Saccharomyces cerevisiae S288C: one gene and its partners. Changing the gene in region 1 together with any one later gene gives a genetic interaction. Each region holds a gene or a part of one and is shown on either strand. Other genes may lie near its edges.

Evidence for each region.
Region 2: of SIR4 (region 1) and RAD53, a mutation in one rescues a mutant of the other (synthetic rescue), as found in Saccharomyces cerevisiae (3 studies listed by BioGRID).
Region 3: of SIR4 (region 1) and ULS1, changing one enhances a phenotype caused by changing the other (phenotypic enhancement), as found in Saccharomyces cerevisiae (one study listed by BioGRID).
Region 4: of SIR4 (region 1) and SAN1, changing one suppresses a phenotype caused by changing the other (phenotypic suppression), as found in Saccharomyces cerevisiae (3 studies listed by BioGRID, with this or other methods).

The regions. Positions count from the first base shown.
Region 1 is NC_001136.10:915,154-923,708, forward strand, and holds SIR4 (chromatin-silencing protein SIR4), read left to right. Parts: upstream 1-2,417; coding exon 2,418-6,494; downstream 6,495-8,555. Other genes in the region: HTA1 (histone H2A), read left to right, coding at 377-775; adenylate kinase ADK1, read left to right, coding at 1,333-2,001; PCF11 (Pcf11p), read right to left, coding at 6,773-8,555. UniProt on the Saccharomyces cerevisiae protein: The proteins SIR1 through SIR4 are required for transcriptional repression of the silent mating type loci, HML and HMR. The proteins SIR2 through SIR4 repress mulitple loci by modulating chromatin structure.
Region 2 is NC_001148.4:259,949-266,953, reverse strand, and holds RAD53 (serine/threonine/tyrosine protein kinase RAD53), read left to right. Parts: upstream 1-2,761; coding exon 2,762-5,227; downstream 5,228-7,005. Other genes in the region: mRNA splicing protein PRP46, read left to right, coding at 1-774; peptidylprolyl isomerase RRD2, read right to left, coding at 850-1,926; YPL152W-A (uncharacterized protein), read right to left, coding at 2,254-2,352; PEP4 (proteinase A), read left to right, coding at 6,023-7,005. UniProt on the Saccharomyces cerevisiae protein: Controls S-phase checkpoint as well as G1 and G2 DNA damage checkpoints. Phosphorylates proteins on serine, threonine, and tyrosine. Prevents entry into anaphase and mitotic exit after DNA damage via regulation of the Polo kinase CDC5.
Region 3 is NC_001147.6:689,819-699,154, forward strand, and holds ULS1 (translocase ULS1), read left to right. Parts: upstream 1-2,656; coding exon 2,657-7,516; downstream 7,517-9,336. Other genes in the region: IES4 (Ies4p), read left to right, coding at 1-156; SPR1 (glucan 1,3-beta-glucosidase), read left to right, coding at 877-2,214; THI72 (thiamine transporter), read right to left, coding at 8,950-9,336. UniProt on the Saccharomyces cerevisiae protein: ATP-dependent helicase involved mating type switching and in silencing interference through its interaction with the silencing regulator SIR4. Cooperates with UBC4 and UBC5 to mediate ubiquitination of SUMO conjugates.
Region 4 is NC_001136.10:740,114-746,475, reverse strand, and holds SAN1 (ubiquitin-protein ligase SAN1), read left to right. Parts: upstream 1-2,601; coding exon 2,602-4,434; downstream 4,435-6,362. Other genes in the region: MKC7 (aspartyl protease), read left to right, coding at 375-2,165; PEX7 (Pex7p), read left to right, coding at 4,876-6,003. UniProt on the Saccharomyces cerevisiae protein: Plays a specific role in mating-type regulation of yeast, by acting post-translationally to control the stability or activity of the SIR4 proteins.

The DNA of each region.
Region 1 (8,555 bases):
GAGTGTATTTGGTGGCTCAAAAAAAGAGCACAATAGTTAACTCGTCGTTGTTGAAGAAACGCCCGTAGAGATATGTGGTTTCTCATGCTGTTATTTGTTATTGCCCACTTTGTTGATTTCAAAATCTTTTCTCACCCCCTTCCCCGTTCACGAAGCCAGCCAGTGGATCGTAAATACTAGCAATAAGTCTTGACCTAAAAAATATATAAATAAGACTCCTAATCAGCTTGTAGATTTTCTGGTCTTGTTGAACCATCATCTATTTACTTCCAATCTGTACTTCTCTTCTTGATACTACATCATCATACGGATTTGGTTATTTCTCAGTGAATAAACAACTTCAAAACAAACAAATTTCATACATATAAAATATAAAATGTCCGGTGGTAAAGGTGGTAAAGCTGGTTCAGCTGCTAAAGCTTCTCAATCTAGATCTGCTAAGGCTGGTTTGACATTCCCAGTCGGTAGAGTGCACAGATTGCTAAGAAGAGGTAACTACGCCCAAAGAATTGGTTCTGGTGCTCCAGTCTACTTGACTGCTGTCTTGGAATATTTGGCCGCTGAAATTTTAGAATTAGCTGGTAATGCTGCTAGGGATAACAAGAAGACCAGAATTATTCCAAGACATTTGCAATTGGCTATCAGAAATGATGACGAATTGAACAAGCTATTGGGTAACGTTACCATTGCCCAAGGTGGTGTTTTGCCAAACATCCATCAAAACTTGTTGCCAAAGAAGTCTGCCAAGGCTACCAAGGCTTCTCAAGAATTATAAGATCGGTTCTGGTATTTTAAAGAAGGCGGAAGGAACTAAACTGCTTCTCCATTGTAACTATATTAAGTGTCTATTAGACCTTTCTGTTTTTCCTTTTTATTTTTCTATATATAATTTATTGGGTATATAATTAACGGTAACATATGTCATGCATGATATAAATTTTTTGTTGTGTCTTCCTGTTTTCTCTGTTGCTCTGTTTAGGTTCATTGGGCACTGTTGCTTACTTGAACATGATTGAGTAGCAAACACATTCTGTGCTTTGTTCACTTTGATAGTGTGACGAAATTTTCACAACCAAAGGAAAAAAGCTCACGATTGCGCGATCCTGTCACGGAGAACTGTCCGCAGCAGCCCGCGGCTTCTGTCCTTATTCGCCCATTTTTTTTTGATTTTCGACTTTTTCACTCTGGCTAGTTTTATTACGCATATTTGTATATATATATACGCATAAATTTCTGAAATGGATTACCTGGTTTATCAGAAACGAGAGCTTTAATAAAGAAACATTAACGTTTCTCTGGTAAAGTCACCACACAGCATCAAATATAACAGTAATGTCTAGCTCAGAATCCATTAGAATGGTCCTAATTGGCCCACCTGGTGCCGGTAAAGGTACTCAAGCTCCAAATTTGCAAGAGCGTTTCCATGCCGCTCACTTGGCCACTGGTGACATGTTGAGATCTCAAATCGCAAAGGGCACTCAATTAGGTTTGGAAGCAAAGAAAATTATGGACCAAGGTGGTTTAGTCTCTGATGACATTATGGTTAACATGATCAAGGATGAATTGACCAACAATCCAGCTTGTAAGAATGGGTTCATCTTGGACGGTTTCCCAAGAACCATTCCTCAGGCTGAAAAATTGGACCAAATGTTGAAAGAACAAGGAACTCCTTTGGAAAAAGCCATCGAATTGAAGGTTGATGATGAATTGTTGGTTGCCAGAATTACCGGTAGATTAATTCACCCAGCCTCTGGCAGATCCTACCACAAGATCTTTAACCCACCAAAGGAAGACATGAAGGATGACGTCACCGGTGAAGCTTTAGTTCAAAGATCTGATGACAATGCAGACGCCTTGAAGAAGAGATTAGCTGCTTACCATGCTCAAACCGAACCAATTGTTGACTTTTACAAAAAGACCGGTATCTGGGCTGGTGTTGATGCTTCCCAACCTCCTGCTACTGTTTGGGCTGACATCTTGAACAAGCTAGGTAAGGATTAATGACCTTGCGCAATGTCTTCTAAATATCTTTTCTTTTTTTTAAATTAATGAAAATATAATAAATTTTTGTATGTGAGTACATATATCCGCAGTATACTATAAATGAAATAATAACATAAGTGTTTGTAACTGGCTATAACGTCCTTAAACATGTGCACTGCCATTAAGTACTTAGTCAATATTTTTATCGTTGAGAACGAACGCAAATCATATTACTAAATAGATGAACAAAAGCGCATCACATAAACAAAAACGGTATAACAGTAATAGTGAAGCTTTTTATAAACCTATAACGAAATAAGCGCTTTTCAGGTTTTATAATTCAGTCAGAGTTCTAACTGGACATCGTTTTGCAGGGGATAAAAAAAAAAAGGAAGCTTCAACCCACAATACCAAAAAAGCGAAGAAAACAGCCAATGCCAAATGACAATAAGACACCCAATAGGTCCAGCACTCCCAAGTTTACTAAAAAACCAGTAACCCCGAATGATAAAATTCCTGAAAGAGAAGAAAAATCCAATGAAGTGAAGACACCTAAAATTCCATTATTCACGTTTGCCAAAAGCAAAAACTATTCAAGGCCGTCAACCGCAATTCATACCTCACCTCATCAACCAAGTGATGTAAAACCGACTTCCCATAAACAGTTGCAACAGCCAAAATCCTCACCACTGAAAAAAAATAACTATAATTCTTTTCCTCACTCAAATCTGGAAAAAATAAGCAACAGCAAACTACTCTCCCTTCTTCGGTCCAAAACGTCAGCAGGAAGAATTGAATCAAACAATCCTTCACATGATGCTAGCAGGTCTCTAGCAAGTTTTGAACAAACAGCATTTTCCCGGCATGCGCAGCAACAAACTTCTACCTTCAATTCAAAGCCTGTACGTACCATAGTACCGATATCAACATCACAAACCAATAACTCATTTTTATCAGGAGTAAAAAGCTTACTAAGTGAAGAGAAAATAAGGGATTACTCTAAAGAGATTCTAGGCATAAACTTGGCAAACGAACAGCCTGTTTTAGAGAAGCCACTTAAAAAAGGATCAGCAGACATCGGCGCCTCTGTGATTTCTTTGACCAAGGACAAATCTATCAGGAAAGATACCGTAGAAGAAAAAAAAGAAGAAAAGTTGAATATAGGTAAAAACTTTGCCCATTCTGATTCACTATCAGTTCCGAAGGTTAGTGCCGGTGACAGTGGTATATCACCGGAGGAGAGCAAGGCAAGAAGTCCTGGAATTGCAAAACCGAATGCCATACAAACAGAAGTGTATGGAATAAATGAGGAATCTACTAACGAGCGTTTAGAAATAAATCAAGAAAAACCAGTAAAATTAGATGAGAATAGTGCAAATAGTACGGTCGCATCGGCCTTAGATACCAATGGGACGTCAGCCACGACAGAAACTCTAACATCAAAGAAGATCGTTCCATCTCCAAAAAAAGTCGCCATTGATCAAGATAAAATAACACTGCACGATGAGAAAACACTTGCACCTTCGAAGCATCAGCCTATAACATCTGAACAAAAAATGAAGGAAGACGCCGACCTCAAGAGGATGGAAATCTTAAAGTCACCTCATTTGTCGAAAAGTCCAGCTGACAGACCTCAAGGGCGTAGAAACAGCCGAAATTTTTCCACTAGAGATGAAGAAACTACAAAACTTGCTTTTCTTGTTGAATATGAAGGCCAAGAAAACAACTATAACTCTACTTCTCGAAGCACAGAAAAGAAAAATGATATGAACACTTCTGCAAAGAATAAAAATGGTGAAAACAAGAAAATTGGTAAGAGGCCGCCTGAAATCATGAGCACTGAAGCTCACGTAAACAAAGTAACCGAAGAAACCACAAAGCAGATACAGAGTGTACGAATAGATGGTCGAAAAGTGCTTCAAAAAGTACAAGGAGAATCCCACATTGATTCGAGAAACAATACCCTGAATGTTACACCATCAAAGAGGCCCCAGCTAGGAGAAATACCGAATCCTATGAAAAAGCATAAGCCTAATGAAGGGCGAACTCCAAATATCTCAAACGGTACAATAAACATCCAAAAGAAATTAGAGCCTAAGGAAATTGTGCGAGATATTTTGCATACGAAAGAATCATCAAATGAGGCTAAGAAAACTATTCAAAACCCTTTAAATAAATCACAAAACACTGCTCTTCCTTCCACACATAAAGTTACACAAAAAAAAGATATAAAAATTGGAACTAATGACCTTTTTCAGGTTGAATCTGCTCCAAAAATATCCTCAGAGATTGACCGGGAGAATGTTAAATCAAAGGATGAACCGGTTTCCAAGGCTGTTGAAAGCAAATCTTTATTAAATTTGTTTTCAAACGTACTCAAGGCTCCTTTCATTAAAAGTGAAAGCAAACCTTTTTCTAGTGATGCTCTGTCAAAAGAAAAAGCCAATTTTTTGGAAACTATCGCTTCCACTGAAAAGCCAGAAAATAAGACTGATAAGGTGTCTCTATCTCAGCCAGTTAGTGCAAGTAAGCATGAGTATAGCGATAATTTTCCAGTTTCTCTATCTCAACCTTCAAAGAAATCTTTCGCAAATCATACAGAGGATGAGCAAATTGAAAAAAAGAAGATCTGCCGTGGGAGAATGAATACGATAATAACTCACCCGGGAAAAATGGAGCTGGTATACGTGTCCGACTCAGACGATTCTTCTTCAGATAATGATAGCCTAACTGACTTGGAAAGTTTAAGCTCTGGTGAATCAAATGAAATCAAAGTAACTAATGATTTAGATACAAGTGCTGAAAAGGACCAAATTCAGGCAGGCAAATGGTTTGATCCTGTATTGGATTGGCGAAAATCTGATCGTGAATTGACGAAAAACATTCTTTGGAGGATAGCTGATAAAACGACATACGATAAAGAAACAATAACTGACCTTATTGAACAAGGGATCCCAAAACATAGTTATTTAAGTGGCAATCCATTAACTAGTGTGACTAACGACATTTGCTCTGTTGAAAACTATGAAACATCAAGTGCTTTCTTTTACCAACAAGTGCACAAGAAGGACAGATTACAATATTTGCCATTATATGCAGTTTCTACATTTGAAAACACAAATAACACTGAAAAAAATGATGTGACCAATAAAAATATCAATATAGGGAAACATAGCCAAGAACAAAATTCTTCTTCCGCTAAACCATCCCAAATTCCAACCGTGTCTTCTCCATTAGGATTCGAAGAAACAAAGCTAAGTACCACGCCTACTAAAAGCAATAGAAGAGTGTCGCATAGTGATACTAATTCTAGCAAACCCAAAAACACGAAGGAGAACCTTTCAAAAAGCTCTTGGAGGCAAGAATGGCTTGCAAATTTGAAACTTATTTCCGTTTCGTTGGTTGATGAGTTCCCTTCGGAGCTTTCCGACAGTGATAGACAAATAATTAACGAAAAAATGCAGTTACTTAAAGATATATTTGCTAACAACCTTAAATCAGCAATTTCCAATAATTTTAGAGAGAGTGACATCATTATACTGAAAGGTGAAATAGAAGATTACCCAATGAGTTCTGAAATTAAGATTTACTACAACGAATTACAGAACAAGCCTGATGCAAAAAAAGCCAGATTTTGGTCATTTATGAAGACTCAGAGATTTGTTTCCAACATGGGATTTGATATTCAGAAGTCCTGTGAACCTGTTTCTATATCCACGTCGGTCAAACCACATGTGGTCGAGCCCGAGCATATGGCAGATGCCAAAATTATGCCTAAGGATATACTGCAAATTACAAAAAAACCGTTAATGGTTAAAAATGTGAAGCCTTCTTCTCCGCCAGATGTGAAGTCTTTGGTGCAGCTGAGCACAATGGAAACGAAAACCCTACCAGAAAAGAAGCAATTCGACAGTATTTTTAATTCTAACAAAGCAAAAATAATCCCTGGAAATGGGAAGCACGCATCAGAAAACATCTCACTCTCTTTCTCAAGACCTGCGTCCTACGGCTATTTTTCTGTTGGAAAAAGGGTTCCAATCGTTGAAGATCGTCGAGTGAAACAACTCGACGATATAACAGACAGTAATACAACAGAAATTTTAACTAGTGTTGACGTTTTAGGAACACATTCACAAACTGGTACTCAACAATCAAATATGTACACATCAACCCAAAAAACAGAACTTGAAATTGATAATAAGGATAGTGTCACCGAATGTTCGAAGGACATGAAAGAAGATGGTCTTTCCTTTGTGGATATCGTTTTGTCGAAAGCAGCATCGGCGCTGGATGAAAAGGAAAAACAATTGGCTGTTGCAAATGAAATTATTCGGTCTTTGTCAGATGAAGTTATGAGGAATGAAATTAGAATAACTTCACTTCAAGGTGATTTAACTTTTACAAAGAAATGTCTTGAAAATGCGAGAAGTCAAATATCTGAAAAAGATGCTAAAATTAACAAATTGATGGAAAAAGATTTTCAAGTGAATAAGGAGATAAAACCGTATTGACTTTTTATCATTCTACAAAAGACCAGTAACGAAGTGTACCCTGTTTTTCTTTGTCGTTTTCTTCTATAATGAACAATTTACTTTACGGTCTTTAATCGATTTTAATGATTAGTTGGGCTTTTGGCTACATATGTAAAATTACATATAATATAATGGACACATAAGCAAAAAAAAAAAAAAAAAAAATAAACAAATGAGCAACCCATCAAATACCAAGAACAAAGAATTTAATATAATATATAGTTATTAAATTTAAATGTATATATGCAGTTCTGCTCTTATTTTGTGACCAATTTCTTTAAGTCATCCAAACCGACCTTGCCACTATTAGATTTGCTTGAATTTTGCGACGTTTCATGATAACATGTCGAGTGGAAATATTTGCCATTCACTTCAATAGTATTTTTCCAAACCCATTCACCAGATTCTTCATCATAAACGCCAGTAACGGTTTCCTTACAAATTGGACATTTGAAGGCCATATCTTGTGAAGTTTCTGGTACAACAACATATTTTCCCCGTATTTCCAACTCGTTACTTCTATCACTTCCTAAAGTGTTGTCTACAGAGCCTTCGTCATTTTCATCAGCGTGAATATTTAGGGCACTTTTATCGATATTTTTATTGGCATGCGGATCAGTATAATCATTTTTATGCTTTGTGGAGGTAATTTCATCATCTTTGAAGGCTGCCCATTGAGAGTCACTCAAATACCAGTTTCTTGATTGAATATTTTTCCTTGTGGTAGTTGTATTTAAGTTAGAGTTGCTTATGCCTGTATTTGCTGTGTTTTGTGATCCCTTAATTCTTGTATTTATTCTGAAATGCCAGTCCAAATGCTCATTTTGTAGTAGTTTTTCACTTTCTGAGTTGCCAAATCTCTTACCACACACGCTACATTTATTTGGCTTGGATCGGTATAATAAGTGAATAAGATTATTTTGGACGATGGGATTTTCTTGAAGAAGAGTTTGTTCGGACAGCTGCAGGGATGGGTTATTCAAAACGTCGATGTTAACCGTGGCAAAATAAGCTTTGCAGTCAGAAAGAATATCATTTAATAAGGGTATCTTTGGCAGGTTCTTCATCAATTGTTTTTCGTGTGAATCAAGAGAGTAGTTTGAGTGTCCATTTAGCTTTTTATAAAGCGTTACGATGGATTCTTTTGGTGGAGTATATATGAGCCCTTCAGCCTTAAGAGATGCATAGAGGTTATTGATTTTGTTTAGGGACTTTTTTTTCTCAATTTCTTGAAAAGATTCAACGCCAGAAATATTACCAAAAAGAGAGGAAGATAAAGAATTCTGTTGGTTCGTTGTATCTGAATTATTTCCAAACAATGGAATCGCTGAATTAGAGTTTTGTGTGTAAGAACCGACCATATCCTTAGTTTCGTGATACTGCTGCTGCTGCTGCTGTTGTTGTTGTTGCTGTTGCTGCTGTTGTTGCTGTTGCTGCTGAAGTTCGTGATACCTCATTCTTTCCTGCAAAACTTGTTGGTCCTGTGAGAAGACCTGCCTTAGTTGCATTTGAACTTGTTTCAGAGCATTGAGAGTTAGTTTTTCTCTTTTCAGTTCTTGTTTCAACTGAGATAAAACCAACAGTTTCATTTTTAATTTTTCATCATTTGGTTGATTCTTTAGCCTTTCACTAGTTAAACAAGTTAATTTATCAATGTCTCTTAATAGGAGGGGAACAGTCGGAGTTGGTAACATTGCTTGCAGGTTTTTCTGGTGGAGAGCACTGGCCTTTATTAAAAACTGTTCAATTTTCTCCAGTGCTGAGCCTTCAAACAGAGGCAGGCCGGTGTCATTAGGATTCAACCAAAGCTTAAACATATTGATGAGTTTTGTTCTTGTGGTGTTGTCCACCAATAAGTATGTTCTTTTGTACAAGTTAAACAAATTTCTACTGAAGTAGATTGTGTATGGGCTGCCAACATTCTTACAAATGGAGTCCAAGGCATAAAAAGCGTATAGCTTCTGCTTAGGCATACATTTTTCAATTCTACTCTCAATGGCGTCAACAAAATATTGAGCACACGAAATGTTTTCTTCTGCT
Region 2 (7,005 bases), on another chromosome or scaffold:
CCTTATTTATTTTCTGTTAGTGAAGATAAGACGGTCAAATGCTGGGACCTAGAGAAAAACCAAATTATTAGAGATTACTATGGACATTTATCGGGGGTTCGTACGGTGAGCATACATCCAACGCTGGATCTCATAGCTACCGCAGGCCGAGATAGCGTTATCAAACTCTGGGATATGAGAACCAGAATACCTGTTATTACACTAGTTGGGCATAAGGGTCCAATCAATCAAGTACAGTGTACTCCAGTAGACCCTCAAGTGGTGAGTTCATCGACTGATGCTACGGTAAGGTTATGGGATGTAGTTGCTGGGAAAACAATGAAAGTTCTAACACATCATAAGAGGTCTGTGAGAGCTACAGCGTTGCATCCTAAGGAGTTTTCGGTGGCTTCTGCGTGTACTGATGACATCAGATCATGGGGATTAGCAGAGGGGTCTTTACTCACCAATTTTGAGTCTGAAAAGACAGGCATAATCAATACTTTAAGCATTAATCAAGATGATGTATTATTCGCTGGCGGTGACAATGGTGTGCTTTCCTTTTATGATTATAAGTCTGGTCACAAATACCAATCGTTGGCCACGAGAGAAATGGTAGGCTCTCTGGAAGGTGAACGGAGTGTTCTTTGTAGCACTTTCGATAAAACAGGTTTAAGATTAATCACTGGAGAAGCAGACAAAAGCATAAAGATTTGGAAACAGGATGAGACGGCTACAAAAGAGTCAGAACCGGGGCTAGCGTGGAACCCCAACTTAAGCGCCAAAAGATTTTAGTGGGAGTAGATGGAAAAAGTACGTACCCTGTATACGTGTATATACAATGAGATAGCATCTATAAATGGACTTTTCCTAATCAAAAGGTATTGGTTTATGATGTTTTTTATTCATCTCAGTAGCCGCAATAGCGCTCGGTAACTTTATACCACAGCAGTCTCCCCAAGTAGTATGAACATGTCCTTCAAAATTGCACTCATCATCCTTATCAGTCCCATCATGTATGTGGCCTCTTGGTGGAGATACACCATCCGGACAAGGCAAAAACTCGCTAAAGTAAAAATGTTGCATGATGGGCAATTTACTAAGGACTTCGGCTTTATACATTTTTATCATCCCTTCAGCAACTTTTGACCAAGTCTTTACACCGCTGATGTCATCTAGCATAGGAGAATGCCATCTCAAGGAGGCGGATGACTTGACCTTATTAATAAAAGCGATACAACCAAAATATAAGTACCGATGAGCGAACATTTCTACGAGCTCATTATTGTGAATTGATATCGGCTTTAAGTGCTTGTGGGTGGTTAATTGGAAGGCACCAAATAGAAATGGAAGGAAATGATAATCATCTAATCCCCAAACACCATGAGAGCCCGCAGGCTCAAGCCAATATTTAGTTTCTAGTATCCTCATTATTTTAAGGTATTCTATAAAAACTTTCAGCACGAGGTTAGTTGAATCGTTTGAAAGATTGAATATTCCATAACTATAGAGTCCATAAAGTAAACACATGAAATTTAATTCATGACCTGAACCATAATCAATTCTTCTTTTATTTCCCCATGATTCATCTAGATAAATCGATAATTGTTCCAACTGCTCATCTGTGAGAGAGGGAAATTCGGAACGTAAGATCTTCCTGGAATTCCGTGAAACTTCGTCATAAAAGTCCCTAAACTCAACCTTACCAAATCTCGAGCTATCTGCATCCTTTATTACTGGGTGCTTCTGAGTGATATCTTTTATTTGCGAAAGCAAGTTCATCATACTGTTTATTGACTCCGATATTGGTTCTTTGTACTGGGAATTCTCATGTCCTTTGACAGATTCAGCCAAATCTATAATAAATTTAGTGAAATGAGCTCTTGTTGGGGATTCTTCCCATAGTTTCATATCGTCTGGAGTCAATAGTCTCTTTTCTGGCAACATCTTTTTCTAAATATTTATATTGTTCTTTACGGATTGTTGTTTATGGACTGTTCTTTCTGCACAGGCGACTAACATAAAGTACCTCTCTCTTGTCATTGATATCCCTTTTGTTCTATCACATCCGTTAGGATTTTATTCTGTGCTTACTCACGTGAAAGAGAGGGAAGAGTGTAAAAGTTACCCGAAAATCTATTATGGCGGCTATTGTAGTACGTCCAAAACAACGTATTTCAATGTAAATTCAAAGCAAACACTGAGAAAAAACAAAAACTTACTTATTGGTTCGCTCAGCACCTACCTAAATGGTACTTTTAGAATGATACTGTATTATCTACCGTGGTATCGGCAACTATAGGACGGAGATAAAGCATGCCAAAGTAATTCTTCCTTTATTAGATGAGATTTCAGCGTGAGGTGAACCATCATTTGTTTGGTTGGTGCATTAATAGCCTGCTTCCTTTTAATTAAGCCGGAAAGTGTTTGTCACAGATGTCAATGAAACGTGCATCTATTAACATATTTATTTTCATTTCGAGGGTGAGGTGGTGTGGACGCGTTGATACGGCAACGGGAGTGACGCGTAAAATTGGCAGAAAAATCATCACCGTGGGTAGACTTGGAAATGAAAACATTTATAGAATAAAGGTACAGGTTGAGAAGATAAAGGGTACCAAAGTTACCATTTTGAAATCTCTGATCAAGAAAAGGTAAGAAAGCAGAAAAGGACGGTAGAGATTATTGGAAGACAAACTAATTTTGTATATGCATTCGATTTTCTTAAGCTTTAAAAGAGAGAATAGTGAGAAAAGATAGTGTTACACAACATCAACTAAAAATGGAAAATATTACACAACCCACACAGCAATCCACGCAGGCTACTCAAAGGTTTTTGATTGAGAAGTTTTCTCAAGAACAGATCGGCGAAAACATTGTGTGCAGGGTCATTTGTACCACGGGTCAAATTCCCATCCGAGATTTGTCAGCTGATATTTCACAAGTGCTTAAGGAAAAACGATCCATAAAGAAAGTTTGGACATTTGGTAGAAACCCAGCCTGTGACTATCATTTAGGAAACATTTCAAGACTGTCAAATAAGCATTTCCAAATACTACTAGGAGAAGACGGTAACCTTTTATTGAATGACATTTCCACTAATGGGACCTGGTTAAATGGGCAAAAAGTCGAGAAGAACAGCAATCAGTTACTGTCTCAAGGTGATGAAATAACCGTTGGTGTAGGCGTGGAATCAGATATTTTATCTCTGGTCATTTTCATAAACGACAAATTTAAGCAGTGCCTCGAGCAGAACAAAGTTGATCGCATAAGATCTAACCTGAAAAATACCTCTAAAATAGCTTCTCCTGGTCTTACATCATCTACTGCATCATCAATGGTGGCCAACAAGACTGGTATTTTTAAGGATTTTTCGATTATTGACGAAGTGGTGGGCCAGGGTGCATTTGCCACAGTAAAGAAAGCCATTGAAAGAACTACTGGGAAAACATTCGCGGTGAAGATTATAAGTAAACGCAAAGTAATAGGCAATATGGATGGTGTGACAAGAGAGTTAGAAGTATTGCAAAAGCTCAATCATCCAAGGATAGTACGATTGAAAGGATTTTATGAAGATACTGAGAGTTATTATATGGTGATGGAGTTCGTTTCTGGTGGTGACTTAATGGATTTTGTTGCTGCTCATGGTGCGGTTGGAGAAGATGCTGGGAGGGAGATATCCAGGCAGATACTCACAGCAATAAAATACATTCACTCTATGGGCATCAGCCATCGTGACCTAAAGCCCGATAATATTCTTATTGAACAAGACGATCCTGTATTGGTAAAGATAACCGACTTTGGTCTGGCAAAAGTACAAGGAAATGGGTCTTTTATGAAAACCTTCTGTGGCACTTTGGCATATGTGGCACCTGAAGTCATCAGAGGTAAAGATACATCCGTATCTCCTGATGAATACGAAGAAAGGAATGAGTACTCTTCGTTAGTGGATATGTGGTCAATGGGATGTCTTGTGTATGTTATCCTAACGGGCCACTTACCTTTTAGTGGTAGCACACAGGACCAATTATATAAACAGATTGGAAGAGGCTCATATCATGAAGGGCCCCTCAAAGATTTCCGGATATCTGAAGAAGCAAGAGATTTCATAGATTCATTGTTACAGGTGGATCCAAATAATAGGTCGACAGCTGCAAAAGCCTTGAATCATCCCTGGATCAAGATGAGTCCATTGGGCTCACAATCATATGGTGATTTTTCACAAATATCCTTATCACAATCGTTGTCGCAGCAGAAATTATTAGAAAATATGGACGATGCTCAATACGAATTTGTCAAAGCGCAAAGGAAATTACAAATGGAGCAACAACTTCAAGAACAGGATCAGGAAGACCAAGATGGAAAAATTCAAGGATTTAAAATACCCGCACACGCCCCTATTCGATATACACAGCCCAAAAGCATTGAAGCAGAAACTAGAGAACAAAAACTTTTACATTCCAATAATACTGAGAATGTCAAGAGCTCAAAGAAAAAGGGTAATGGTAGGTTTTTAACTTTAAAACCATTGCCTGACAGCATTATTCAAGAAAGCCTGGAGATTCAGCAAGGTGTGAATCCATTTTTCATTGGTAGATCCGAGGATTGCAATTGTAAAATTGAAGACAATAGGTTGTCTCGAGTTCATTGCTTCATTTTCAAAAAGAGGCATGCTGTAGGCAAAAGCATGTATGAATCTCCGGCACAAGGTTTAGATGATATTTGGTATTGCCACACCGGAACTAACGTGAGCTATTTAAATAATAACCGCATGATACAGGGTACGAAATTCCTTTTACAAGACGGAGATGAAATCAAGATCATTTGGGATAAAAACAATAAATTTGTCATTGGCTTTAAAGTGGAAATTAACGATACTACAGGTCTGTTTAACGAGGGATTAGGTATGTTACAAGAACAAAGAGTAGTACTTAAGCAAACAGCCGAAGAAAAAGATTTGGTGAAAAAGTTAACCCAGATGATGGCAGCTCAACGTGCAAATCAACCCTCGGCTTCTTCTTCATCAATGTCGGCTAAGAAGCCGCCAGTTAGCGATACAAATAATAACGGCAATAATTCGGTACTAAACGACTTGGTAGAGTCACCGATTAATGCGAATACGGGGAACATTTTGAAGAGAATACATTCGGTAAGTTTATCGCAATCACAAATTGATCCTAGTAAGAAGGTTAAAAGGGCAAAATTGGACCAAACCTCAAAAGGCCCCGAGAATTTGCAATTTTCGTAACCAAGGACAAATACCCATAGAAAATGCTGCCCCTTTTTAAGAGAGAAGATGGTAGATACCAATACTCAGAATTCATCTATTCATAACTTTTTGGGTTTTTATTACATATAGAGTGACGTTTTGATACGATTTACATTTTGAAATATATAGATTTTTGTATATTAATAAGTTTTGATTTTCAGTTTTAGTTATGCTTAATGAATTTTTGAATCAGAAAAAGAAGTTCTGAAAAAAACATAATCCTGCTTGATGTGGTACAACAAGCTCATAAATAATTTTAAAAAGTTTGTTAATCCGTTTTCAATATCTTGAGCTCCTCAATTGTATTTGCTGAGGTCTGATTATTTCTATAACCAAAAGCGGTTATTGAATCTATGGAGAGGCTGTAACCCGTCTTATGCCTTCCGGGTACTATATTTCATTTGCGGGTGTCGATGGATTAAGGGGCGGAGGCGGCCCTTTTTAGGATTTATATAAAAAGCCATACTTCCGTACTTCGTAACCTCTTATCAACTGGTTAAGGGAACAGAGTAAAGAAGTTTGGGTAATTCGCTGCTATTTATTCATTCCACCTTCTTCTTTTTTGAGCGAAGCCTTTATAATCAAATTTTAGTGGTCTTTTCTATTTTTATTTGAGAAGCCTACCACGTAAGGGAAGAATAACAAAAAGTATATCTCACCCTACTGTATTCATAAAAAGTTTTTTCTATTAGAATTCTATAAGAAAAGAAAAAAAAAAAGCCTAGTGACCTAGTATTTAATCCAAATAAAATTCAAACAAAAACCAAAACTAACATGTTCAGCTTGAAAGCATTATTGCCATTGGCCTTGTTGTTGGTCAGCGCCAACCAAGTTGCTGCAAAAGTCCACAAGGCTAAAATTTATAAACACGAGTTGTCCGATGAGATGAAAGAAGTCACTTTCGAGCAACATTTAGCTCATTTAGGCCAAAAGTACTTGACTCAATTTGAGAAAGCTAACCCCGAAGTTGTTTTTTCTAGGGAGCATCCTTTCTTCACTGAAGGTGGTCACGATGTTCCATTGACAAATTACTTGAACGCACAATATTACACTGACATTACTTTGGGTACTCCACCTCAAAACTTCAAGGTTATTTTGGATACTGGTTCTTCAAACCTTTGGGTTCCAAGTAACGAATGTGGTTCCTTGGCTTGTTTCCTACATTCTAAATACGATCATGAAGCTTCATCAAGCTACAAAGCTAATGGTACTGAATTTGCCATTCAATATGGTACTGGTTCTTTGGAAGGTTACATTTCTCAAGACACTTTGTCCATCGGGGATTTGACCATTCCAAAACAAGACTTCGCTGAGGCTACCAGCGAGCCGGGCTTAACATTTGCATTTGGCAAGTTCGATGGTATTTTGGGTTTGGGTTACGATACCATTTCTGTTGATAAGGTGGTCCCTCCATTTTACAACGCCATTCAACAAGATTTGTTGGACGAAAAGAGATTTGCCTTTTATTTGGGAGACACTTCAAAGGATACTGAAAATGGCGGTGAAGCCACCTTTGGTGGTATTGACGAGTCTAAGTTCAAGGGCGATATCACTTGGTTACCTGTTCGTCGTAAGGCTTACTGGGAAGTCAAGTTTGAAGGTATCGGTTTAGGCGACGAGTACGCCGAATTGGAGAGCCATGGTGCCGCCATCGATACTGGTACTTCTTTGATTACCTTGCCATCAGGATTAGCTGAAATGATTAATGCTGAAATTGGGGCCAAGAAGGGTTGGACCGGTCAATATACTCTAGACTG
Region 3 (9,336 bases), on another chromosome or scaffold:
AGAGACGTAAGAGAAGAACGTCAAAGGGGAAGCGAGTTTACTGCATCTGACGTTAAAGGATCAGATGACAAAGCTACAAGGAAAAAAGAACCAGCAGATGAGGATCCTGAAGTAAAACAACTTGAAAAAGAAGGAGAGGATGGACTGGACTCATAAGGTAATGTCAACAGCTTAAAGTTGTTCTCAGGGCCCCACACTTTCTAGTTTGGCACGTCATTTATGAAATTCACAAATTGGTTACATTAAGTACTAAATCTGGTAGCCGACCAAAAAAGAACAACAAATATACAATTGTATGAGTAAATATGCAATATAAATCAAATGTATTTAGTTAAAGGGCCAGAAGTAAGGCTACAGACTGTAAAAGAAAATTAGATGGAAACCCTCTTCAGGAAAAAAGGACATTATAAAAGATACAGCCAAGAAGTGGGCGTTTATAAAACAATTATATAACATGACCGTCGATTATATTCTGACAGGAATGGCGACGATTGCATCGTTATATTTCATTTCATTCCCAACTCAACGATACTGGTATCAAAAAGCCTCTCTGTTCATTATTTGTCCCACTACAAGCGACTCTCTTATTTTTGGCGGTCTCTGCCAGCTTAAGAAAAAGCGGTTACCAAACGACACTAAAAGAAGCGGCGCGTCTGGTTCATTAGAAATTTGTCAGTAATGCTGTCAATCTTTGTGTAAAAAGTCTTTCCATCAGTTGCCACCCCTTTTGTAGCAACTTCCATGCGTAGAACAACCTCACATTCATTATTTTTTTTACCCTTCTCTTTTAATTGTTCAATTGCGAACAGACCATCCAAAGATTCGAAAGAAAGACTGAGGTGCTCCGCATAAAATCTTTATAAACTTTAGAAGTAAATGGTTTCGTTCAGAGGGCTGACTACACTAACACTACTTTTTACCAAATTAGTAAACTGTAATCCTGTTTCCACAAAAAATAGGGACTCTATACAGTTTATTTATAAAGAAAAGGATAGTATATACTCTGCCATCAACAATCAAGCCATCAATGAAAAAATTCATGGAGTCAATTTGGGTGGGTGGCTAGTATTGGAGCCGTATATTACACCTTCTTTATTCGAGACTTTCCGTACTAATCCGTACAACGATGACGGTATTCCTGTTGATGAATACCATTTTTGTGAAAAATTAGGCTATGAAAAGGCAAAGGAACGCCTTTATAGTCATTGGTCGACGTTCTATAAAGAGGAAGACTTCGCGAAAATTGCTTCTCAAGGCTTCAATTTGGTTAGAATTCCTATTGGGTATTGGGCCTTTACAACGTTGAGTCATGATCCCTATGTTACCGCCGAGCAGGAATATTTTCTAGACCGGGCTATCGATTGGGCTAGGAAATATGGTTTGAAAGTATGGATTGATCTTCATGGAGCCGCTGGTTCACAAAACGGATTTGATAACTCAGGGTTGAGGGATTCATATAAGTTTCTGGAAGATGAAAATTTAAGCGCCACCATGAAAGCTTTAACGTATATTTTAAGCAAATACTCAACAGACGTATACCTGGACACCGTTATTGGAATCGAATTGCTCAATGAACCGTTAGGTCCAGTTATTGACATGGAAAGATTGAAAAATTTGCTTTTGAAGCCGGCTTATGACTATTTGAGAAATAAAATTAATAGCAACCAGATCATTGTAATACATGATGCTTTTCAACCTTACCATTATTGGGATGGGTTTTTGAATGATGAAAAGAACGAATATGGCGTCATAATTGACCATCATCATTATCAGGTGTTCTCGCAGGTGGAATTAACAAGAAAAATGAATGAACGTATCAAAATCGCCTGCCAATGGGGGAAAGATGCCGTAAGCGAGAAGCATTGGTCCGTAGCAGGCGAATTTTCAGCGGCCTTAACAGATTGTACAAAGTGGTTAAATGGGGTTGGTCTAGGTGCCAGATATGATGGAAGTTGGACCAAAGACAATGAAAAATCTCATTACATAAATACGTGTGCAAACAACGAGAATATTGCCTTGTGGCCCGAAGAGAGAAAACAGAACACTAGAAAGTTTATCGAGGCTCAATTAGATGCTTTTGAAATGACTGGTGGATGGATAATGTGGTGTTACAAGACAGAGAATAGTATCGAATGGGATGTTGAAAAATTGATTCAACTCAACATTTTTCCGCAACCTATCAACGATAGGAAATATCCTAACCAATGTCATTGAAATTTTGTGGCATATATTTAAGGTCTTGGGAATGTGATGATTATTATTGGAGAAAAAATTGCCATCTAAAACTCTTTATATAACATGATGAGGTATACAAATAAAAAATACTTTATATCTTATAATTATGCAAATAAAAGTGCTTCCATCAACCGCTACTTCACTTTTTATCTGAACTATGAATGGGGAGCTCATGATGATTACCTGTTGATATTACGTGAGGCGGAAGAGAAGCACGAGACACGGGTCACTCTCGATATTACCGGACAGTTTACTTAGACTATGTAACGAATATGAGAGGAAGAAAAACAATAAATAAATACAAACCTCTCCGCAGTTTTATGAAAGAACAGGACAGGGCGTCTATACCGATTTTTACATCTATCTTTTGAGTGCTTGAAAGGAGACGCTGGACTATATCTTTAGGTTAAACATCTGTCAAATGGCAGCAGTACCCACCATCGACCTTACACTAGCCGATTCAGATAATGAAGACATATTCCATTCTTTTTCGTCTTCAACAAGTGTGGATAAGATAGACATTAGGAAAGAAAATGGGAAATTAAGAATGGCAGGCTTGGAAGTCGCCCAATCTAATGACGATGCAGCACGTCAAGCATTCCATGTTTTCAAGACGAACATATCAAATAATGAAACCTTCGATACTATTCTTTCAAAGAGCAAGACAATCACAGACAGTACCTTCAACAATGAAAAATCTTCCAACGAAGTAAAACAGCAGCAAGTCTTGAAGGAAGAAACGATGGGATCTTCCAACGATGAGAAGAAAACACAAGAGAGCAGCCCAAGCGCAGAGATGATAAAACTTTTTTATGAAAACGATGATGTGCCGTTATCCGATAGTTTTAAACAAAAAGAGGAAGGTAAAAGAATAAATCAGGATGAGCAAGTGAAGGAAAATATCTGTGGCATTTCTTCCTCATACGTCTCCAAAGACTACGATGGCGTTGAAGATGATTTCGAGCCTAATACTTGCCAGGACAGCAATTTGGATTTTCAAGAGGAGAAGTTAAACTTGAATAACAAACCGTCACAGCAACAGTTCAGCGACCCAGAAACAAAAGATAACAGTTTGAAGAGCGAAAACAAAGACCAAATAAAAGGAGTCACAACAACAAGTTATCGTGATTTACCTATTGAATCTAGTGCTTTCCAGGATTCTGAAACTCAAAATAACTCCAAAAACACTATACCTAACATCGTAAATGAAAAGCGAACGCCAGCATTACCGTCCAATCTAAGCTCTGTTGAGAGTTCCCTTAAAAACGAGACGGCCAAAGTAGAGGGGAAGACGACCGTTCGTCTTCCAGGACTTCAAAATAATGTTGCCTTACTTGAGCAAGAACAAAGTGAACTATTCAAGCACTTTAGTGAACAACCTGTCGATATTAGCGATTTTGGTCGTAAGATTAAAAGGAAGCATAGCGGAGATTTTGCAGATAACAAGATACTTAAAAGACCGATATTGCCCTCAAAAAATATGGACCACACAACACATAATTCACATGATTCCGAACAGAAAAATAGCTCGATTATTATTCTTTCAGATGAGGACGAATCTGGTGCCGGTATCAATGATATAGAAAGTCCTTTGAAAGTTTCTGAACCAAATACAGCTGATGCGCTTAGGAGCAGTGTACCAGAAGTCATATCTTTACTTGACCTACCCAATATTGACTTGAATAACTCAGTAATAAAAGAAGCAAGTGGCAGCAATTCAATTCCTACATCAGAAACAGACGCACAATCCTCGAGTTCGTCAGTTCTTCAAGGAACTATCATGACAGAACAAGCTACTCAATCCTCTCAACACGAATGTAACAGTTCACTTGATACTCTAAAAAAAAATCATCAAAAATTATTGAAGGATTTGAATTCTAGAGAGTCTGAACTACGTAATGCTCTCAGTTGCTGCAAGACAAACTCTGAAATTTTAAGAAGGAAACTAAGTAGAAGAGAAAAGGAGGTCTCTGATGCTGAAAAACATTGGCAGTTATTGTTGACATCGATGGCTAGAGGGGGAAGAACTATCAGCTCAACTCAGCAGATATTAGTTGATGAAGCTGAGAACCAATTAAACAAACTGAAGGAAAAAAGACAGTTGACAAAATCGAAGCTAGATTCAATCAATTTGAAAATGTATAATTATAACGAACAATGGAAGTCCTTTGTGCATTCGAAAAATATAAACCTGCAGAAATCTTTGGCTGCCCTTGAGCGGTCAGCCAGGGATAGTAAAGCTTCTGCGACCGTAAATAAAAGAAACGAATGCCTGGCTGAGAAAGAAAAGCTAGACCAAATGTTAAAAGAAGGAACCCTAAGCTTCAGTACCTACAAGCAGTTAACAGGGGAGATCCAGCAGAAACTGAATGACTTGAAACTGGGGGACCAACGCACAACTGATATCAATAGTGTATTGCCAATAGTACGGCAACCTCTCGCCAAAAGAGATTTATTTATTAAGTCCATTGATACTGCAAAAGATTTATTAGCCAAGAACACATCCAGGACAGAAATGACGAAGAGAATTCTTTATAGACATTTGGACAACTTGGTCTCTTATAAAAACTTTTTTGAAGACGGAAGATCCTTAATAGATATAAACAGAAGACACGTTGCACATGAATCGGCCCAAATATTGTTCACCAACGGTGTAAAGATGCCCATTGTTTTTGAAACATTACAAGATTACGGCATCAAGTTTTCTAATCCAGCCATTGTCAATCCTGACAGAAGAGCCCAATATTTTAAAAGCATCGAAGTTGCACGCGATCTCATATCAAAGTCTACTAGATCAGAGGATGCTAAACGAAAGATTACTCGATTTTTGAATATAATTGAAGAATTTCGTAAAGATATTGACACCGGATTTCCACCTACTCCTTTAAAAAGGGAAGGCGTCGGAAAAGCTGTTGTTGGGCTAAGACAACAAGGACTTAAGATGGACAGACTATATGAAAATTTGAGAAGATATAAGATTCCAATAACAAGTGAAGAATTACTGCAGCAAAGCTATTTATTTCCGGTAAACGCAGATCAACGACCTCCTTCAAACTGGAACATCGTGGAAAATACCGAAGATACTAGTTCTACAGCCAATGATCTATCGATGCAAGATGAATTTCACATCTCTAATATGCATGCAGCAGAAGATCAAGAACAGATTAGGGCTCTTTTAGAGAATGTCAAACAATCTGAATCCATTATAGACGGCGAAGCACTTACTCCCGAGGATATGACCGTAAACTTATTAAAACACCAGAGGCTGGGTCTGCATTGGTTGTTACAAGTTGAAAACTCCGCAAAAAAAGGGGGTCTGCTTGCTGACGATATGGGCCTGGGTAAAACGATTCAAGCTATTGCATTGATGTTAGCAAATCGCTCAGAGGAATCCAAATGTAAAACCAATTTGATCGTCGCACCAGTCTCAGTCTTGAGAGTTTGGAAAGGTGAATTAGAAACGAAAGTAAAAAAACGCGCAAAATTTACTACATTTATTTTTGGAGGATCAGGTAACGGAAAAGTTAAGCACTGGAGGGATTTGGCAAGATATGATGCTGTTTTGGTATCTTATCAAACTCTAGCAAACGAATTTAAGAAACATTGGCCGAAAAAACTGGATGGTGAACAAAATCAGCTACCAGCTGTGCCTCATATACAAGCTCTTAATAGGTTGAAAACCTCAAATGAATACTACTCTCCATTTTTCTGCAATGATTCAACGTTTTACAGAATTTTACTGGACGAAGGCCAAAACATCAAGAACAAAAATACAAGGGCTTCTAAAGCGTGCTGTACTATAAATGGAATGTATAGGTGGGTCTTGTCTGGTACGCCGATTCAAAATAGTATGGATGAGCTTTATTCCTTGATAAGATTTCTAAGAATTCCACCCTACCACAAGGAGCAACGGTTTAAATTAGACATTGGAAGGTTTTTTCAGAGAAATAAGCAATATCAATATGATAACGAGGATAGAAAAAACGCATTAAGAAAGGTTAGAGTCCTTCTAAATGCCATTATGCTTCGTCGGTCTAAGGCTGATAAGATCGACGGCAAACCTTTACTGGAGCTCCCTCCTAAAATTGTGGAAGTAGATGAATCACGCCTGAAGGGAGAGGAATTAAAATTTTACACAGCTTTGGAATCAAAAAATCAAGCACTCGCTAAGAAATTGTTGAACAATTCTACGAGGGGGAGCTACTCTAGCGTTCTCACATTACTACTTCGCTTAAGGCAGGCTTGTTGTCATTCAGAATTAGTTGTGATGGGAGAAAAAAAAGCGGAAGGTACAAAGGTAGCTAACGGCAAAAGCTTTGAAGATGACTGGCTCAGGCTCTACTATAAAATCACTCACATGAGCGGAGAAGCGCAGGCTCAGGTTATTACTTCAATGAATTCTATGACATGTTTCTGGTGCATGGAACAATTAGAACCAGAAGCGATGTCCGTTCTGACAGGTTGTGGTCATTTGATTTGCGACACTTGTATCGAGCCCTTCATCGAAGAGTCATCCATGCTACCTCAGGCCAAGAAAACCAAAGGTGGGGCATTTGCTATCCCATGCAAAGATTGTCAACGTTTGACAAACGAGAAAGATATTGTTTCGCACAAGTTATACGACCAGGTAATAAACCAGGGATTTACTGAGGAAGATTTGCATGCAGAGTATTTAAGTGAAATGGAGAAACAAAAAATACAGCAAAAAAATGTATATGTGCCAAATTTTGAGAGTTTAGAACCATCTACGAAGATAGAGCAATGTATACAGGTTATTCAAAGAGTTTTTGATGAATCAGCAACCGAAAAAATTATTATTTTTTCCCAGTTTACAACATTTTTTGAGATTCTCGAACATTTTCTCAAAAATAAACTGAATTTTCCCTACTTGAAATATATTGGATCAATGAACGCTCAGAGAAGATCAGATGTTATCAACGAATTTTATCGTGACCCTGAGAAAAGGATACTTCTGATTTCCATGAAAGCCGGTAACTCAGGACTAACATTGACATGTGCGAACCATGTAGTTATAGTTGATCCATTTTGGAATCCTTACGTCGAAGAACAAGCTCAAGACCGTTGCTATAGAATTAGTCAAACAAAAAAAGTCCAGGTGCATAAATTGTTTATAAAGGACTCTGTTGAGGATCGTATTTCTGAATTACAGAAGAGAAAGAAGGAAATGGTCGATTCTGCCATGGACCCAGGCAAGATAAAGGAAGTGAATAGTTTAGGGCGTCGGGAGTTAGGATTTTTATTTGGTTTAAACGCTCTTTGAAGAACTTGGTGAATTTTGAAGCATTATTGCGATACACATATGTATATGTTGATAATTGGTGGCTAAGCTTCTAGTTTGTAGGCTTAAGTAACTTCACTCGTTGGCACTTACGAGCTTGGCATTTAATGGAACAGAAAATAAGCCGTAAATCGGCCCTACTTTAAGTATAAGAAATATGCGAAATTTGATATGATCGTTTGAATTACTTTTTGAAAAAGAAAATACCATTAGTAACATACAATATAAGAAGCTCGTCTCCTGGATTTGGAAATCCACAAAAGATTATCAACAATGCCACGAATAACATAATTGCTTCCCCCTCCTGTTAATTGCTTTAACTCATTATTGCATCGTTAACAGTTGTTACTAAATTTGATTTTTGTTTCTCATCATATATGTAATCTTCAAACGCCAGTATAATTATACGCTCGCAACAGCTACCATACATTAATGAACCGATGAAAATATCCCGTTTGATGATAACTGGCAATTAAATGACAGTATTAATTAATAATCAAAGCTGATCTTATATTCCTATAAAAGAGAAGCGTATAAAACACACGTGGATTGGGGGTGCTTTATACGTAAACTGTGATTTCAGTAATTTTCGCTGTAAGATCAAAGTAAAGACACATTCCCTTATATGTAAAGTTCAAATTCATTGTTCCACTAATAGACCGTCAACTTTTCTTTTGGATTTTCAGCCCGAACAGGTTGCTTATTATTAACTTCCTTACAACAAGGTACAGTCAGTGCATTATATAGATCTATACAACCATGTGCCTTTGTGTTTTCTAAGGCTATACTGAAAATAAATTGGTAATTTATAATTTCTATCTTCACGCGCTTTCTCACTAACAAGACTTGACCTCTCAAATAAGTGGCGCAGATGCTCTAGAAAAGGTTTCTTATCAAATAAGTTTTGCTCTTTAATCGCACAATGCAATGCAAGTTATTTTTTTTTTTTTGATTTAATGACTTTCGATTTCCTCTCATAGGCAACCGGTACTTATCATAAGTACGTAATAAGAAAAGTATGTCGCAGGACGTCATAAGCTCAGACTTGAACAAAAGAGTAACAAAATCGCCTCCACCTAATTTTCAGCCCTACTAGAGCCTGATAGGATATCGGCACTGAAGCTGATAAGAGAATCAATGAAAATATCATCCTCAACAGAAATACTGAAAAGAAGCGGTAGTTTTTTTTTCTTGTTACAATTATCAGCCAAACAAAAACAGTGATCTGAATCGTCAATCAAACATTAGTGGAAGAATGAAATAATCGAAATGACCTCTATATCCTGTACGACCAACAAGCTTAATAGTAGTGTTTCCTGGGACTAAAGAGTGTGTTTAATTATCTCGAATTTTAATACTAGCGAAAGATCTTGAATGAACACTAAGTATGATCATTTTATTAGGTTTTTTGCTCATTAGGCAATTTGTTTTTCACTGGAAGTAGAGGATTCCTTTTCATTATCTTTCTGATGAACAATTTCAAACACTTTTGTGTTTTCTGAACTAGTTTTTGTCAACTCAGGTAGTTCATCATCGGAGCTCTCAGGTTTGTATTCGTGTCCACTTGTGAAGCATTCGCCTAATGTGTAAGCACGGATTTCTTCTTCAGAAATTTCACTGTATGGAACCATGCCCTTCTTCCTTGCTTCTTCGTCGGTAAACGCACCGTAGTAATCTTTGTCATCATGTTTGACAGTAATTTTGAATGGGAAGAGGAGGCATAGTCCCCAATAGACGAAAAAGGAAATCAAAAAGGAGAAGAAAGAATCACCATAGAAAAAATTTATAATACCAGTGTTGTG
Region 4 (6,362 bases), 170 kb from region 1:
TTCATATTCAACAATGCATTTAATTCATCCTCGCTACGCTTACTAGACCCTATTTACTAATTAAGACGGGATTCATACACATCGTTTTGCACGTAGAAAGTTACACGCGTTTTTTTTTTTTTGAAGTTGAAATTTCAGCTACGCATCGAGAAAGTTTATTTGGCAGTTTTCTTTTAAAGTTTTGAACCTGTTTCAATACCTTATTTCCTACCATCTTTCATTATTCAGATAATCACTTTTGGGAGAAATTTGGTTGGCGTCACTCGTTCTTGCTAAGAAATTGTAATTGGCTAAAAGTATCAACGAGAGAACAAGCTTTTGTCGTTATTCGCTTGAGCAAATACGTCAAAAATAAACGAAAAAGAAAGAGCTCTATGAAATTATCTGTCCTCACATTTGTCGTAGATGCATTACTTGTCTGCAGCTCAATAGTAGATGCCGGTGTTACAGATTTTCCATCCTTACCAAGTAATGAAGTCTATGTCAAAATGAATTTTCAGAAGAAATACGGCAGTTCATTTGAAAACGCTTTGGATGATACAAAAGGTAGAACGCGTTTGATGACAAGAGATGATGATTACGAGCTGGTGGAACTGACTAATCAAAACAGTTTTTATTCGGTGGAATTAGATATTGGCACCCCTCCTCAAAAAGTTACTGTGCTTGTCGACACTGGTTCTTCTGATCTATGGGTCACGGGTTCAGACAACCCATACTGTTCCACTAAAAAGAAGGATACCACTGGCTCATCCTTTAAACAAGTAAACAAGGATGCTTTGGCTAGCGTGGTTGAGAGTGTGTTTACTGAAATTAGCTACGACACCACTATAGTTACCAGCGAAGCCACTGCTACTTTTGATAGTACAGCTTCTACATCACAGTTAATTGACTGCGCTACATACGGGACATTTAATACCTCTAAGTCGTCTACATTCAACTCCAATAATACAGAATTTTCGATCGCCTATGGTGATACGACTTTTGCATCTGGTACCTGGGGCCATGATCAATTGAGCTTGAACGATTTGAACATTACGGGTTTATCATTTGCTGTAGCAAACGAAACAAACTCAACAGTTGGTGTCTTGGGTATTGGTTTGCCTGGCTTGGAGTCAACTTATTCTGGTGTTTCTCTCAGCTCTGTACAAAAAAGCTACACTTACAATAACTTTCCGATGGTGCTAAAGAATTCGGGTGTAATAAAATCAACAGCTTATTCTTTATTCGCAAATGATTCTGATTCGAAACATGGTACCATTTTGTTTGGCGCTGTGGATCATGGAAAATATGCGGGCGACCTATACACAATTCCCATCATTAATACTTTGCAGCATCGCGGCTACAAGGATCCAATTCAATTCCAAGTCACTTTACAAGGATTAGGTACGTCGAAAGGGGATAAAGAAGACAATCTGACAACCCTAACCACTACAAAGATCCCAGTCCTGCTAGATTCAGGTACGACCATATCGTATATGCCAACTGAGCTGGTAAAAATGCTTGCCGACCAGGTCGGAGCTACTTACTCTTCTGCATATGGTTACTACATAATGGATTGTATCAAAGAGATGGAAGAAGAGAGTAGCATCATCTTTGATTTTGGTGGATTCTATCTTTCTAATTGGTTAAGCGATTTTCAGCTAGTCACAGATAGTCGTTCAAACATTTGTATACTAGGTATTGCACCGCAGTCAGATCCGACCATTATTTTGGGTGATAACTTCTTAGCTAATACTTACGTGGTATATGATCTGGACAATATGGAGATATCAATGGCTCAGGCTAACTTCAGCGACGACGGTGAATACATTGAGATTATAGAGAGCGCGGTTCCAAGTGCTCTTAAAGCACCTGGTTACTCAAGCACTTGGTCTACATATGAAAGTATTGTCTCCGGCGGCAACATGTTTTCCACGGCAGCTAACTCCAGTATATCGTACTTTGCTTCCACGTCTCATTCGGCAACAAGTTCTTCCAGCTCCAAAGGCCAAAAAACCCAAACAAGTACGACAGCTCTCTCTATTTCAAAATCTACCTCAAGTACTTCCTCAACAGGAATGTTATCTCCCACCTCAAGTTCATCTACGAGAAAAGAAAACGGAGGACACAATCTGAATCCTCCATTTTTCGCCAGGTTCATTACAGCTATTTTTCATCACATTTGATAAATCCCTCCCTCCATATAAGCATTTACTAGACTTTAAAAGTTGCAATGTATATCTGGAGGTATAACATTGTACATTACTTGAAAGAAAAGCGTCTTTTAACGTAAAATAAATAATACTGTTCTTTTTTATTGTTACTGGCTTCTTAATCAACAATTATATACTTCGACGCAAAAAGCCGGGTAAAACATTCTATCTGCCATTGTCAAAAAATATGAAAGAATTTTTTACATATAACTACATTGCATTAGTATCACCAAATCAATAATGAAATAATAGCTAAAAACTATATATTGAAGGAAATATAGTTTATCATATATATCCTCTAGTGAAGCTACTATAGATAGAAATTATTTAGCATTTCAGGATAGTTCGTTTCTCCCTTTTTTCCCCTTTGTTTTCTCTCATAGTCTTGTAACCTCAGCTTTTGTTCATTATGAGTGAAAGTGGTCAAGAACAAAACAGAGGCACAAATACATCACCAAATAATGCTGAAAATAATAATAATTCAAATGCAGCTTCCGGTCCACTCAATGGTGGTGCTGAGCAAACAAGAAACATAACCGTTTCCATTCAGTATTCCTATTTCACTCCGGAGAGATTAGCACATTTGAGCAATATATCTAATAATGATAATAACGAAAACAACAGCGCAGCATCCGGTAGCACGATTGCCAACGGTACTGGGCCCAGCTTTGGCATCGGAAATGGGGGCCATCAACCCGACGGTGCTCTTGTTTTATCTTTTCGTGATGTTCCTGCGTCTACTCCACAAGACCGTTTGAACAGCTTCATATCTGTTGCTGCTCAGCTTGCAATGGAGAGATTCAACAGACTATTAAATAGACCAAAAGGAATATCAAAGGATGAGTTTGATAAGCTCCCCGTTCTGCAAGTTTCTGATCTACCCAAGGCCGAAGGGCCCTTATGTAGTATATGTTATGACGAATATGAAGATGAAGTTGATTCAACTAAAGCAAAAAGAAAAAGGGATTCTGAAAATGAGGAGGAATCTGAAGGAACAAAAAAAAGGAAGGATAATGAAGGTGCGCCCCTACGCACAACCGCCGATAATGACAGTAACCCATCGATTACAAATGCTACGGTTGTTGAACCGCCTTCTATTCCTCTCACTGAACAACAACGCACTCTCAATGATGAAGAAACAAATCCAAGCTACAAACACTCACCAATCAAGTTACCTTGTGGCCACATTTTTGGGAGGGAATGTATCTACAAATGGTCAAGATTAGAAAATTCTTGTCCCCTTTGTAGACAAAAGATCAGCGAATCTGTAGGTGTTCAACGTGCAGCCCAACAAGATACGGATGAAGTAGCAGCTAACGAAGCTGCTTTTGAACGTATTAGACGAGTTTTATACGACCCAACTGCAGTGAATAGCACTAACGAAAATAGTTCCGCCCCATCCGAAAACACGTCCAATACAACGGTTCCCACTATCGGAAATGCAAGTTCTGGCGAACAGATGTTATCAAGAACAGGCTTTTTTTTAGTGCCTCAAAACGGCCAACCTTTACACAATCCAGTCCGTTTACCGCCTAATGATAGCGATAGAAACGGTGTCAACGGGCCGAGCTCAACTACTCAAAATCCACCCTCTAATTCTGGTGGTTCGAATAACAATCAAAGTCCGCGCTGGGTTCCCATCCCTTTGACTTTGTTCCAATTCCACAGTCCAAATCCGAATCCTTCCGCTTCTGATTCTTCGGCAAGCCCATCAGCAGCGAACGGTCCAAACTCAAATAACACTAGTAGTGACGCTACAGACCCTCACCACAACAGACTAAGAGCCGTTTTGGATCACATATTCAACGTTGCTCAGAGGGGAACTTCTGATACCTCTGCAACAACAGCACCCGGAGCACAAACTGTTCACAACCAAGGACGTAATGACTCATCGTCCTCTGATACAACGCAAGGAAGTTCCTTTTTGGAAAATATTTCACGATTAACAGGCCATTTTACGAATGGCTCAAGAGACAACAATAACGACAATAACCATAGCAATGATCAACAACGAGGTGGAAGTACTGGTGAGAACAACAGAAATAACTTGTTTTCCTCCGGTGTTGCCAGTTATAGAAATCAAAATGGTGATGTTACTACCGTCGAACTACGCAACAACAATTCTGCTGCCTTTCCTCCTACAGACGAAAATCCCTCTCAAGGCCAAGGTTCAAGCAGTTCGGACACCACCATTCATAACGACGTCCCTAATGATAACAATGAGCAACGATCATCACAATAAACAATACCGCTTCTGAAGTATGTTAATATGAAAATATGTCCTATTGGCAGTCATCCATTTTCAGACATTATTTTCTACTCCTTTTACCTTTTTTTTATCTGCATCTTTATATATATATATCATATACTTATTTTTCTTTACTTCTACTTAAAGTTCTATAATCATTGTTAATCAGAAATTTGCATGTCTCCAGCAAGTAAATATGAAGGCCGAGAAATTAAACCACCGACATAACCTCCTCTGAAAAGTCGTTTCGCAAAACAGTAAAAGGTGAAAACACTTTTAAGAACTGTGGAACACAAACTGTGTTTTCTTACCATAAAATCTTTTACCGGAGGTCGAAATCGTTTTCTTTCTGATTTGGAATTCGACGCTCGAAAAGTGCAGAGATCTCATATTGTTAACGGACTATCATCTAACTTTTTGCATAATTTATACAACATGCTCAGATATCATATGCAAGGTTTTAGTGGGTACGGTGTCCAGTATTCTCCCTTTTTCGATAACAGGCTCGCGGTAGCTGCTGGTTCAAACTTTGGCCTGGTTGGGAATGGAAAATTGTTCATCCTTGAGATTGATCGTTCAGGTAGAATAGTGGAAGTTAATTCCTTTTTAACACAGGATTGTTTATTTGATCTTGCATGGAACGAAAGTCATGAAAACCAAGTGTTGGTTGCACAGGGCGATGGTACATTACGCTTGTTTGATACAACCTTTAAAGAGTTTCCTATTGCTATATTTAAAGAGCATGAACGAGAAGTATTCAGTTGTAATTGGAACTTAGTCAACAGGCAGAATTTCTTAAGTAGTTCATGGGATGGATCTATAAAAATATGGTCCCCTCTAAGAAAGCAAAGTTTAATGACCCTTACTCCACGACCTTTAGAGATTACCAAAATGGTGGATCCATTAAACGCCATTATATTGAAAAAGAAAAGCTTTACAGGTATTTCAAAAAACAGGAACTGTGTATACCAAGCACAGTTCTCGCCCCACGACCAAAATCTCGTATTATCCTGTTCAGGGAATTCTTATGCAAGCTTATTTGACATTAGACTACCTTCCGGCAAAAATCAGAATAATTTTTTAGTGCATTCAGGACTAGAAGCATTGACTTGCGATTTCAACAAATACAGACCTTATGTAGTTGCCACAGGAGGTGTAGATAATGCCATTAGAATCTGGGACATTAGGATGCTAAATAAAAATGAATCAGCGACTATCAAGAGGACTGTGCCCGGCCAACTTCACAATTCATCATGCATCAATGAAATCCCTAATGCGCACGGGCTGGCAATCAGAAAAGTTACCTGGTCCCCTCATCATTCCAATATTTTAATGTCAGCTTCATATGATATGACCTGTCGAATATGGAGAGATCTCAGCAACGATGGTGCAAAAGAAACATATAAAACTAACTCTACGGATGCTACTAAAGGTTCCATTTTCAATTTCACACAGCATTCAGAATTCGTATTTGGAGCTGACTGGAGCTTGTGGGGAAAGCCAGGATATGTGGCTTCAACTGCATGGGATGGAAATTTATTTGTATGGAACGGCTTAGGTTGACACATATTCTTTTTACACAAATTTTTTGCATTATTTAAACTTTAAAATTATTTTTCAATCATTGTCAGCATTTGGCAGATCATTTACGTAATTATTTAATATTCTCAACACGAAATTATGGGTAACAACGCTTCTGACTGTGCAAAAGAACATTCTAAAAACATACCTACGGCAAAAACTGCTAATTACTCAAATTAATCAAGTTTTTATAACGACATAAGCGAGTGCTGAAAGAAGGAATATTTAGAGTCCGATTACCGTTTTATTAATAAACGACATACTTATATATTTGCTGGGCGTTCCACCCGAGGCACGTGATCAAAAGTGATTTTGGTTTTTTCAAAGGCTAAGCTTCGATC